2 linked regions of the Styela clava genome follow. The protein of the gene in region 1 binds, or shares a complex with, the protein of each later gene. Links are inferred from orthologs where the notes say so. Each region holds a gene or a part of one and is shown on either strand. Other genes may lie near its edges.

Region 1 (7,879 bases):
AATGGGCAAAGGCTGGTGTTCACACGTATTAAACGTGCTGGCTCGGTAGTGTTCAATGAGAAAGTCCTTAATCTGTGCGAGGTTGTTTGTTGTGGCTAGAAATGGGACTTTGGTGGGCAACGTTGGAGGTAGTTGGCGCGAGGACAATCACATTGCTTTTGAGTCTGGGCGCTTCGTTACACTTAGTAAACAATGACGGAACTCAATAATATTTGAAATGAAATAAAGAACAAGAGTTAACATTAAATCACACACTGCCCAGTCTTCATAAATATTCACTACATATGATTAAGCCGTCTTGGCGACTCTCCTCTCCTCCGGGATAAATACGTAATTCATAGCTATGTAAAGTACTATTACTAAGCCGTTTAATGCTGAAAAAATCAAAAATGTACTAGCTCGTTGCAGCAATAACTCGTAAGAGGACATGGTGATACCGATGTGAATGTTGTCTATAGATAGATACAACACACGATTAAGTCGTAGTTTGTAGGATACAACGTTGACTTAACGTGAGAACGTGTTGTCGTTTCAATGTGACTCGTATTTATACATATAGTTATACTCTCGTAACAATGATTTTGGCCGGTGTTAAAAATCAACACCCACGAGCCAGCCAGAAACACAGCCCAAAAGTTATCTCCTTTTGTTGGTACTTTCCGTGTTACTAAAAATAGAATCACGCAACGATAGCACGTGATTGTTTTCAGCCAATCATAATTCGGTTTAGAGGTGGAACCCCACGGGAAGATATAGGGAAGAGGTCTCGGTACTGCCTTGGGTAGTCGACCTGGTGTTGCTTTCAAAAATGGACTGGGTAAGCAGGTAAGGGGCTGTAGACGCAAATAGACATTGCGTTTACAGTTTTTACTCGACCTGTTTTCGCTTAAACGACGGTATTGGTACTAGACTATTTGTTCATCGTCGTTCAACTAGACTGCAAAAAATACTTCAAACTTTTAAATACTGAAATATGAATCCCGCATCAACTGTCAGACTGTGAAGTGCTAGAATTCGGATACGTAATCTTTTCTGACAGTTTTCGGACAACACTTCTGTTGTTATGATTCTTAAATATTTATTTTTGCGCTGAAGGATAAAAAGTTTTTATAATATTACTGTACGTATTATGGCATGGTACAGTGGTAGCAGGCCACAAACTCTCTGAGGTCAGAAGTTGACTAGACTGCCAGAATACTGAAATAGTCAGATAGCAGGATAGAATGTCTGTATGTAGTAGGGGTCTTCTATACTGCTATCTGACTCTACTGCTCTATTTATATTTATTAAAGATCCATGAATTCAATGTTCAGAATATGCCAACACTTTTCTGTAGTGCTGTAATGAATACCGGTATTAATAAAATTAGCTTATGTTTATCAACAGAGAAAGTTTTTTTTTGCATATTTTCTGGTTCCTTTGCTTAGAACTTGAACACACATCATTGCTCCAGTGCTCAGTGGCTCAAAATTTAGCAAAACAACTTAATGCGAGATTTTGACAATGAGTTATTTCTGTATTTGTATCATTGCAATTTAAAGAATCCCCTTTTGTGAGAATCCCCTATGTCATAATCATTAGATTGTATGAAGAGATAGGTTGGGGCAATTCATGCGGCAATGAAAAAATCAATTACAAGGTTATAGTGTGTTTTAGGTTATTGTGTGCGAGGTTATCTCTCTGTCTGTGTATTTTTTCCAAGTTATGTTGAAATTTCGTGAAATTTGGCCCGAGGGCCAAATGCTAGCTTGTGCGAAGTGAACAACACATGCCATAAGATTAATGACCAAAATTTTTGCCTGCAACTACTATAAAGCCTATGTTAAATAAATGGACTGCCAGCGATTTCACTCAGGTATTTGTATACGGTAATCTGGCCCTCCTGTATTGAAGGTTGCATACCCCTGCTGTATCTGATTGATTGTTGAGATGATAAGATTTCCTGTAAACATCAAGCAAACAATTTTAGCTAATTGTTGGAATGAGTAGTACATTTTTGATGTTCTGTAAGAAAATACAGGTATGCATAGTTAGAAGGATTCAAGAGTTTGCAACTATCTTGTTGTGATACAAAAATGAAGAATGTCTGCTTAAACAAATTATTGATTGGATCAATATTATAAAGAACATCAGATATTTTGGATGTCAAATTATTCTTATATTTATAAGCTGTCCTCTACAAACAATGACACACGTCAGATTTATCCATATTGTTCATGATGTCACTGTAGTTCCTTTTCAACTATTATTGTTTATCTCTGGGAAATTTCTGTGTGAAATTTCACAATGTAAATGTGACCAGTTCATATATTATGTTAGCGCATAGGGTTTCAGATGAGTCCATTTTTGTGTCATAATATGTAGACTTATATAATAAAGAAGATATGTTTGTTCATCAAAATTAAATAATCCTAGCTACGAAGATATAAATTTAAAAACTATTCAGAATATGTGAAATTATAGTGTTATTATTTATTTGTTCATATATATATATCTTTGCAGACTTTGGAAAAATGTATCGAATAACTATATTGTATAACATTTATTTTCGTAAGATGTACTTTTAAATTTTACAATATTTTTTAGAAAAATTTTCATAATCAAAATTTTTCATGTTGGCAATTTGACATCATTCTCATGACTCAATGTGTAGTGTTTAAGTGTAGGATCAGACTTTACAGCTGAATATGAAATGTTTGCCACTCTATATATTTATATATGTTTTTTGCCATGGACTTTCATCATATTTGTTAAATTTATAGGTACTCCTGAAGTATGCGCACCAAGATGTCGCATAACCTGAACCCTAACCTGGTACACACCTGAGTTCAGGTTGTGGGCCATCTTGGTACGCATACTTCAGGAGGTCCAATTTATATTTATATACCGTATGTATTTGTTTAAACTAATTAGGTGGCGGACAGAATGCTATAACGTCAAACTATATAAACATAGACATTCCATTCTATAGCCATATGGAGAAGTTATTATTGATCACATTTATATATATAACCTTTTTCTGGTATCACATTTTCTTTCCCCTGGTGAACCATTCTTTTATTTTTCAGAAAAAAATGAGTAAAAATATGGCAGTCACCTGAAAATATGATGTCATACTTTCTGTTCAATAAAGAGTGCTTCAGTAGTATTTCATGACTTATTTATTATTACTTTTTCTTCTTGGGACAAATATACTTGTAGACATTGTGATTACCTCAATACCATAGGAGATTATCAGGCTATTTTTATGACAGAATGAATGATAGAAGCATAGAATGGTATGACCGAAGAGATAGCGATTTTTTTAAATTGCTTTCAGCAATTTATACTAAACTCAAATTTGTTAACTTTAGAGTACATCATGAATTCGAATTAAAAAATGGGGCTTTAGAATACTAATTATTCAGATAGGGTAATGATTATATTCAAAATTCAAAAATATCTAGTAGTTTGCTCAAAAGTTTTTCAGAAACCCCCATCTTGAAGTAAAATATAAATAGATGAATTTTCAGCAATCCTAAATTTCTACCTTTATAGATCCCATATTATTTCTAACTGTTTTTCAGGCTTCCTATCTTAAAAAATTTGATGCCTCTGGCATCGTATTTTTCACAATCATGACAAACCGTCTGAAACTTTTGTATCAGTGCGTTTTGTGATTTAAAATTCTGCGTCCTAATTTTTGCCAGTTTTTGGAGAGATATTATTTCATTTTGAAGACCTGAAAAATTTTCGCCTAGTTATGTATTCTTGTTTAAATTTTTTTTATATATCTTCATAAATATTACAGCATATAGGGTACCTGATTTAAGATGATAAATAGAATGTATTATATTATAACTATTATATTAGCTAATAACTGTTTAAATATAATATATATATAGAAAATAAATATATTAAAAAACTAGTGTTTGAATTCCAAGTTTTCATTGCGGCGTAATTGTGTCAATTTTCGAAAAATTGTCAATCTGAATCTATTGCATAATTTATTTCATTTAACTTGTGTCCTGAATATGGTGACCGTACATTTGAACCCATGCGTATATCCACGGGTTCAATCTATATGCGGGTGCTATAACCCATGGGTTAGGGTTAGTATGGGTTTAACTATCCGTGAAACAAAAAAAATTCCATAGGTGCAATAGCATACAGGTGCAATTGTCATGGGTTCAAATGTACGTGGGTTCAAATGTAATGGAACCCCTGAATATATATGAATATTTATACATTTCAGTTATAAGACAATTTCTTTGAGATTTAGAATTTATTTAGATTGTTTCTGAATATGTATCTCCGTTATTATTATAATTTAAAAATGAATGCTTTTTTATTGCTTGAAGTATTACCATGAAGTATTGAAATGCACTAACAAATATCGCCGAAATAAAAACATATCAAGTGTAGAGCGTATACTTTATTAGTAGTGGGTGAAATAAACATTTTTTTAAAATATCTTGAAGTAATATTTACTGGTACATAAACTTTTCTTTATTTGATGTAAGTTCTTCAATTTGGAAAAAACATCTCTATAATTTTGAACTCAAGAGGTATATAGATATTGGATATATACCAGTTTTGAATTCATTTATTAACGTTTCCTTTGAGTATGACGCTATATGTATATGGACATTTTTAATAGAATAAGGAAGTGCTGTAATTTGTTTAGTGTTCAATCGAAACCAATGAAATGACTCTTGCTCTACTTGTATACCATATCTCACTTGGTGACAGGTCTATACATTCTCCTCATTAGATGCCTTTATTTGAATGTGGTTTGTCCTAAGGTGCAACACCTAAGTATCCACCATTTTGCAATTTGTACTATTTTACCTACCATAACTATTATCAGTAAATTATAATCCTTGATTTTTCAACAGAACAATATTATTGTAAAGTAAATATATTGGTCGTCACTACGTTAGGATAATTACAATTATTATTACAATAATCCTATAAAATATTTTGTGGAAATTATATGAAGGAAAGTTATTCTTATTAGATGTATCACTCTCCTCAACGAACACTACCTTTTCAACAAAAGTACGAAAATACAATAAATATGTATCCGGATGAGGTATGTGAATCTATAAGAGTATTTAATATCTTCTGATATTTTCAAAACCATAACAATAGTGAAGTAGTTATCAAAGATTTAAACTTGCTTAAAAATGATCCTGCGTCCGAGGATACAGATGGACCATAAGCAACATATTCATTTGACATTAATGAACAAAAATAAAAAGTTTGTTATACATAAAAAATATAACCATGTCAATATGAAGCTGTTCAAACTTGGAACAAAAACTATTTTCCCAATAGCATTTATCTAGATTTATAAAAAAAAATTGTCATTCCATGTGAGAACTTTGAAATTGTGTGTCATGCGGATTTTAGCTTCATCTCTTATACCAGTAGTTTGAATTAAAATACTATTGGTGATATCATGATAAATTTGCTCAGAAATTGCCTCACTCAGTTTACTTTACTGGTCAAATAGTAAGTTAATGATTTATCAAAGCGTTGCTTTTCTTCTTTCAGAGTCAGGAACCGTTTCTTGACATTATCGAACACCCAAAAGCGAGAGGGTTCAGATTCCGGTATTCTTGTGAGGGACCATCCCACGGTGGCATACCCGGGGCTAGTAGTGATAAAAACAAGAAAACATATCCTGCAGTTCAGGTATTTTTAATGCCATAGCTACAGTCAATAAATCCAATGTTATAAATTGTGTGGGTGTTTGTTGGTATGTATAAGGAATTTAGTTTGTAAACAAAATAGCTGAAAAATTTCACTACCTAATAAAATCATGAATATTGTCAAATATACTTGTATTTTATGATTATGATCGGAATATCTAATTTTAAAATATGTGCAAATTTGTGATATATAAGTTTTAGATTATTGTGTGTTATTTGATATAAACATTTCCATTTTAATGTCGGTGCTATTTGATGGCCCAACAGCTAAGCTTATACTATCTATTTATTTATAATTGGATTTTTCTAATTTTTTAATTGAATTCCTAACATTATCAGATAAGAAATCACTCAGGATATGCAAGAATTGTTGTTCAACTTGTTACAAATGAAGAGAACCCACGACTTCATCCTCACTCTTTGGTTGGAAAACAATGTCAGAATGGCATCTGTACAGTTCAGTGTGGACCCAAAGACATGACTGCCACGTAAGTTTCTCTCTTATTTCTCTTTCACTCATTTTTTCTTTCCAGACAGAAGAGCTTTCTCTCTTTTTTCCCTCCCTTCTCTCTTACATATTTGAAGGGGATTTTTCTAGGTGTAATAAAATGATTTCGAAACATGGCGTAATACATGACAGGCCGACAGGGTATAAATATCAGGAGTGCTGTTTTGACAAGCATTGTTCAATTTGGATATCCTAATAAAATCATAGGAATTCATTGCTTATAATTGAGCCTTGGATTCAAAATAATCATAGTCTTAGGCAAGATCATATTTGAACACACCAAGTTAAAATTTAAGACTCGAGTTATAGTTACAATGAGGCAAATGCATACAATAAAAAGAAGTATGTTCGAAGTATTCAAATCATGAATCATTTTGGCCAAAGACCAGAATTATAATAAGCATTTCACAACGTTCTACAGTACTTCGTCATGTCATTTCTCACAAATAATATAAATGCAAAAATTCAATAGGCCTAGCCTATATTTGCTATCAAGTTGTTGTAACTAAATAAGAATATAATTTGATTTATCTTTTTGCGATAAATATTTTAAAGATAAATTATGTAAATTGCCATATTTGGATATTTGTTTTCTAAATGCTGACGGAATATCTTTACCACACCTCATGCTGTGCTGATAGAATGGGGTTCAATTTGAATTGAAATGTTGTTTAATTTATACATTTCATTATAAAATCTTCTTTCTATTTCAATACTTTAAATTTAGCATTTGCTCAAACGAATATATAGATTTTTTGCCTCAATTATCGATTTTTTCGTTTAATATTCTTTTCTATTTATATAGAATCAATTATTAACAGTAAATTTTGCTTTTATGACATCCTCAATATGACCAATTAAAATTTATTTTTATATTAAAAAAATTTGCATTTTTATGATTCAGATTTCCCAATCTTGGGATACAACATGTCACGAAGAAAAATGTAGCAAAAATTCTTGAAGAACGATACTTGGCTGCCGAAATGCAGCTCTCGTCCCTCAATGAAGGATTGACCGCGGACATTCAAAATGCTATAAAGGGTACGATCTCCTTCGATTCATTTTTACCTTAAATGGCTGTTGATGACATCGAAGTTGTTCATTTATACCTCGCCTGTTATTAGAATCAGGGACATCAGAACAGCTTAATTATTTAGTTCAAATGCTCAATGCTTCATGCCAGTTGTGTCTGATTGCCGCTTGCATTTCTCATTGATTATGAGAAATCAATGTTTGAAATCAATCATGATAATATCTTAATTCGCTTCATATCTGTGTATAAAAATAACTTGAGCACTGGCATGGTGGGAATTCCCATTTCACAATGACTATGAATTTTTTAGGTCAGTGTGTGGTGGCGGTGGGGCTTAGTTTTGTTTTGGAAACTCTACATCTGCAATTTGTATTTGCTCACAAATATTATATTATTATAAATAATAACTGAATTGTTTGGTTTCCTAAAATTGTGTTTTACGATTTGAATGGAATTTGCCCATTCGATCCATTCATGAAATAGTCATGATGAATGCCAACTTTTTCTTGATAAATTGTCCCCTGCTGAAAAGAATTGTAATAAGACTGTTTCTCACATCGTATTTCAGAGTATTTTATTATTTTCTGCATTGCAGATATCTAATGAAGTTTCTGATATTACTTTTGGTATAATTTCAAATAT
Region 2 (6,053 bases), on another chromosome or scaffold:
TTTAACTTTGTAGGTGAAGCAATGACCTGTGAATATGAGTGGTCATGGAGCACATTGTTAAATTTCTCCTGCACTGACCACTTCTGCTTTACACATGAATGAAATTTTCTTTTTGTCGGTGACTTTCGCTGTTCGTTGACCTGCAAGAAATTTTGATGATCATGAGCATGTCCCACTTTAGATGCGTTGAACCGAAGCATGTGGCAAAAAACGAGAATTTTGAAAATTTAGAAGGCATTTGTCGTAAAAAAAAATCTCTCACATCACATAAACAGATGATTTTATATAGTTATTCCGATAAACTAAAAATTAAAATACATAACAGATCAAGTCTATTACCATAAGCTAAAATACTAGGTATCTGCATGCTATAGTGATCTTAATTGCCTGATATATGAAAAAAACACCCATTAAAATATGTGACAGGATTTTTTGTCGCTCTGGGTACAACATTTAAAGTTATTGAGGATTCAATTTGTTGTTTATCTTATGCATACCTTTCTTAAATATTTTGGAAATGCTTTGAATCGGGTCGGAACAGCATTGTCCTTAATTCTTGTGCGTTGCCCGGTTCTCTTAATATCGCTCTCTTTAAAATGGTCAGAGCATAAACGTGAAGAACTAGTTGGAATCCAATTCGCCCTCCGCAAAGCAGTTACCCACTTCTCGCAAAGTGCCTTATTCAAAGGAAATCTGAGAAAAATATTGTTAATTATGTATGAGCAAAAAAGAACTGATAATCATTTCATGCAGTAAGTGCACAATTTATTCGGATTTGAGCTACTTGAATTGAAGCAGGCCAGAACCAGAATTTGGATTTAACATAGTCTATCTGTATAGTCAAAAACGCTCTTTTCTAGTCAATAATAGTTTTATGCGCTAAATTGTTGACTACTTTGTATGTTATAAACTTGCTGTCGCCTTCAGCCCAAATGATTTAAATGCTTATACAATTTTTCCAACAACTTTGACTAAATTACAACTTTACTACAAACTGACTTCTGACCTTATAGTTACAGAAGACGAGCCTCAATACTGTACCGAGACAGCTATACCTGTATCTGTATGCATTTACTCTAACATATATCTGTATATCATGATAATAAAACTAGCTTTATCTTTTACAATGTTTAGCAGGCTATGAACAAATTGCTAAGACACACACTGGCAGACAACTGAAAACTGATATTGTTAACACAAACTGCTGGGCTATTTTTCTTACTTATGAAATGTCCTTATTTTCGTTTCAGCACACTTTCCTCGTCATCATCTCCCTCGCTATCACTTCGAAAGTCCTTCTTTTTAAAACGTTTTTTGCAACCATATGCGGAGCACTGAGTACCAATACCGCTACTTTTTCCAATCATTTTCTCCGCCTCAGATTTTTTTGGCAATGCCATACCGTACCTACCTTTAGTTAAACTATTCCGTAACTATATCGTACTGTCAGCCTAAAATATAAAAAAAAATACTAACTAGCTAGTGACAAATACTAACCTAGCCACCTATACTTAGGGAAGTTTGAACGTAAATACCCAATTATGAAACTAGCAGCTTTTAAACACGAAAAACAAGCCAAAACCAGCGAACTACCCTACCAGCAGGAAGAAAGTTTGGAAGCATAAGTGCCAAGATGGCGGCGATCAAATTGTCCCGCGCAGCGACAACGCAAAACGAGAGAGAAGATCGTTCCATATATTTCCAGTTCAGTGGTACAAATGCATAAAGTCGGCGTAGCAAATACGATTATTTAATAAAAAATAAAAATCGCATGGAGAGGGTTAAAACCATGATATTCAAAATTCTAAAAAAATGATTAAAAATCTTGATCTAATTCGGAAACTAATAATAAAAAAAAAAATTATTCTATGTCAAGAAAAAAAAAATAGAGCAAAACTAAAAAATAGCATAAAAATTAAAAAAAAAAAAAAAAATGAACGTAGTCGCAGGCGCCATTACGAGTGACGTCGTTATACTTTGACAAGCTCTATTTCGTGATTGTGACGTCGCAGTGACGTAATTTTTGGATGCCGTAGCCAGGTGGGGGTTCAGGAGTGACATATTAAAAAAAATTGAGCAACGCCCACTAGAAGTATATGTGGTACTAAACGTGGATTTATGAGAGAGATCGCTGCCGTTAGTGAGTTCTTTATCGTCGGCGCAGATGCCATTTCAGGCGATCGTAGGCATACAGAATACGAAAATTCCGTTTGGCATTGGAATTTATTTGGCAAAAAAAAAAAAAAAGGTACTTTGGCAAGCTCTATGACAGTATGGCGTGATGGTGCCGTAATTTTTTGATGGCATAGTCAGGTGGGGTTACAGTACAGCACACTATCCAAATTCCAAGAATTTGGCTCAATAAAACAAACACTTCATGTGTCTCACAAACGAGGGGCCTCTGGGACCACGTCAGATGCTTCATATCATGCCGTGCTTGTCTCAATAATAATCTAAATTAATCGGAGCCGTCACATGATCAAAATTCCCATTTGGTCATTTGGTTTGGCCATTTGTCCAGACGTCTCCCCAAAGGAGGGGTGTCTGATCATCTGTAAAATGGGTTTCTCTGAAACGGGACAATGTCACCCGATATGTATAGTGTGCCGTACTGGGTTAGAATTGACATTTGCAAAAATCATTATGCTACGCTCACTAGAAGTACTTCTGTACTTGGGGTACAAAACTACACGAGACCCGTCAATCTTAACCCCCATCTGACTACGTCATCCAAGAATTATGTCACTACGACATCACAATTATGTCATAGAGCTTGCCAAATATACGTAGAATCGCCCGAAATGGCATTGGCGCCGACGATAAAGAACTGACTGGCGTTATCGATCTCTCTCCTATTGGAATCGTTGCGACAAGAAAACGAGAGAAAATTACGTCACTGCGACGTCACAATCACGATAGGAGAAAGATCGATAACGCCGGTCAGTTCTTTATCGTCGGCGCCAATGCCATTTCAGGCGATTGTACGTATATTTGGCAAGCCCTATGACGTAATTGTGATGTCGTAGTGACGTAATTTTTGGATGCTGTAGTCAGATGGGGGTTAGGATTGACATATCAAAAAATTGTTATGCTACGCCCACTTGAAGTAAGTTAGGTACGAAACTACACGAGACCCTACTTCTTCTTTGTTGTATGTATGTTGAAGTTGAAATTCAATGTTCAAAAGGTAATTTTATTATTTTAAGGGTATGTGATTTATAAAATTTTTCATTTTCGTGGTACTCTTTATTGCTATCAGTTTTCATAATTTCGGGTCAACACTTTTTTTATGGTACCTTTTCTAAGGTTTTGTTGCATAGTTTTAAATCCTAATAAAGTCCTTATAAAAATGTAGCAATAATATTTTTTCACAGTGAATTATGTACGATTGTATTTCAATTATTGGTGTAGTTTTTGAATGAGTTTATAATTTATTTATTTAACTTCTGATGTAAAAAAGTTACGGTAGTTTTCTGAGATACAGTCAACTTGTTTTTCCAAGATCATGTATCTTTGCTTCTTTTAGTAATTATCCAAACTCAATTACCTGAAATTTCTTCATAATACACTGCATTTTATATTTGAACTTTCAAGTTAGAATTCCCACGATTAGTCACTTATTAACTATGCGCATTTATGCAGTCAAAATTTATAGTATAATCTGAAATGAATTTACTTTTCCCTAAATTACTTTCTATACAAATAAGTTCCATTTTCATTTTACCTATTAATTTGCTAAAACTTTTTATGAAAATAATGCTGTTTGAATTGTTCACCTATCCTTACAAATTTATTTGTAAAAAAATTCAAAGTTTTACGATTGTGGTCAAATCTGGCTTGTGTGACAAGCTAAAAAAATTAATCTATACTGGAGCTTTTGGACTAGTCAAAATGAAATAAGGACCAGGCCAAATTCTTGAATATCAATTTTTTCAAATATAGACTTCCTTCAGAGGTCACAGCCATATTCGTTCTGTTGAATGTTTATATAAACCTACCTCGTTCAGTTAATATAGTGGAATGCTTGTGCGATATATGCAGACTGTCTTTTATTATTTTGCCTTTATCCTATATCTTACTGCACTGTATTTGTATTAAAGTACTGGTAATCAGCTAACACAAGTAGCTACCTTTTACTATCTTGCCTTCCTCATGTATCTTACTGCACTGTATTTTTATCAAAGTGATTAGTTAACACAAGTAGCCCAGCTGACAAGATGTCTGTAATACAATGTGATACAAAAGAAGATTTCGATAAGCAACTTTGTGATGCTGGTCAAAAACTTGTTGTTGTCGACTTCTATGCGACTTGGTGCGGACCGTGTAAAGTGATTGGTCCCAAAGTTGCAGCAATGAGTGGGGAATACAAAAATGCTGTTTTTCTAAAAGTGGATGTGGACGAAAATTCAGACACTACTGAAAAGCATGGAATAAGTGCTATGCCTACATTTCTGTTTTTCAAGAATGGTCAAAAAGTTGATGAACTTGTGGGAGCAAGTGAAGCCAAGCTGAGAGAGATGATAGAGAAGAATATTTAGAATCTTTTCAATATAGTTTTGATTTCCTGTAATTGATCCAATAGCGATAAATTATCCCAAAAATCATTTTGAATTCGGGAATGCACAATTTGTAGTCAATTTTAATATTTGTAGTGTTGTAAATTGTAATCTGAGGCTAATTTTTTAATACAGATGTACTCAGTGAAGATGTTACCTGGGTTTAAATAGTTGAATACAGAATTCCGATTTTGAACAAAGTTTGATAAATGTATTTATAAACGGGAATGGGTTTGATAATTTATTTTGCAGTTCTGATTTAAAAAAATTAGTTTTCTGCGATACAGTCAACATATCTCTTCAAGATCATGTATCTTTGCTTTTTTTAGTAATTATCCGAACTCATTAGAAACACGAATAGTCACACAATTTGCTTATGATGAAGTCAAAATTTGTTGCCCAATCTGGATTGAATTTACTTTCTTAGAATTTCTTCCTATATAAATATGTTCTATTTGCACTTTTCGGTATTACTTATTAAATTTGCCCCAAAATTAATGCAATTAGGCTTGAGCACCCATTCTGATATTTTACAACCAGTTTCTCGTAAAATTTGTAGTTTTACCCAATGCGGTCTAATCGAGCATGTTATATCATGATTTGCTAAAAAATATTCTTGAATATTAATCTTTTTAAATATGGACTTCCATAAAGCTCACATGCATATTTGTTCTGTTGAATGTTTATTCAAACGTTCTAGTTAATATAGTGAAATGCTTGTACGATATATGCAGATTATCTCTTGATTTTGCAAATTTTGATGATAATAGGGAATATTCAATATTGTGATAATACATTATTCAAATTTCAGTTTTTTCGAGTGACTATTTTTTATAAACAAATTTTCAGGTATTCGAATTGTAGTACTGACAATAATATTGGTTCTGTTTTATTTAGCTTCGGGATATTACTTTTAAAAATTGAACTTTCCATAACATGTGAAAACTTGTACGATATTCTGAAGTCGGGATATTTTACATTGGATTGAACAACAACCATGGGTGGATGTATAAGGAGGCTGATCGGCCCTCCACAAAATTCAAATACAAATGGAAGTAACCGGCAACCAAAAATGTCACAGGCATCATTTTCAAATATTCAACAACAACAACGATCTCAAAGTAAGAGACTACCAGAATTTTTTTTTTATTTATATCTGCTTTTTTAAATTTATTTATCAAATAACATATCGCCGGATGAGAACAGAACAGGCCTAAGTCACAATTTTGAGTTTTGAGAAAAACGCAAAAAACAATTTGGAATTTTTTTATTTTTGAATATCTAGATATTCACAATTAGTAAAGTCCTGAGCTCTGGTTATTTTAGTTTGGATGAGAATATCTTTGTAATCAATATTTTTTGGCACTTCAGCTTCAATTTCTTTCTGCTTTTTTACCTCCATAAGAGATTTAGGCCCATTCTGTTCTCAACAACTTCTGAAATTTTTTGTATGGGATGCAAAGTAAAAAAAGGTGACTTAGGCCTAAGTTGCACTGA

The links. The genes of interacting proteins can lie anywhere in the genome.
Region 2: the proteins of nuclear factor NF-kappa-B p105 subunit-like (region 1) and thioredoxin-like are in contact, whole or in part, in an NMR structure (PDB 1MDI), measured with the Homo sapiens proteins. The link is inferred for Styela clava from reciprocal best matches to the Homo sapiens genes NFKB1 and TXN. Residues at the interface, in NP_001158884.1 of Homo sapiens: Arg56, Phe57, Arg58, Tyr59, Val60, Cys61, Glu62, Gly63, Pro64; in NP_003320.2 of Homo sapiens: Thr30, Trp31, Cys32, Pro34, Met37, Ile38, Asp58, Val59, Asp60, Asp61, Gln63, Ala66, Ser67, Val71, Lys72, Pro75, Ser90, Gly91, Ala92.

Annotation. Positions count from the first base shown.
Region 1 is NC_135256.1:16,831,533-16,839,411, reverse strand, and holds the start of nuclear factor NF-kappa-B p105 subunit-like, read left to right. Parts: upstream 1-4,860; 5' UTR 4,861-4,999; coding exon 5,000-5,074; intron 5,075-5,538; coding exon 5,539-5,679; intron 5,680-6,035; coding exon 6,036-6,184; intron 6,185-7,108; coding exon 7,109-7,245; intron 7,246-7,879.
Region 2 is NC_135257.1:18,245,272-18,251,324, forward strand, and holds thioredoxin-like, read left to right. Parts: upstream 1-4,147; 5' UTR 4,148-4,217; coding exon 4,218-4,538; 3' UTR 4,539-5,453; downstream 5,454-6,053. Other genes in the region: tyrosine-protein kinase Src42A-like, read left to right, coding at 5,554-5,677. UniProt on the Homo sapiens protein: Participates in various redox reactions through the reversible oxidation of its active center dithiol to a disulfide and catalyzes dithiol-disulfide exchange reactions.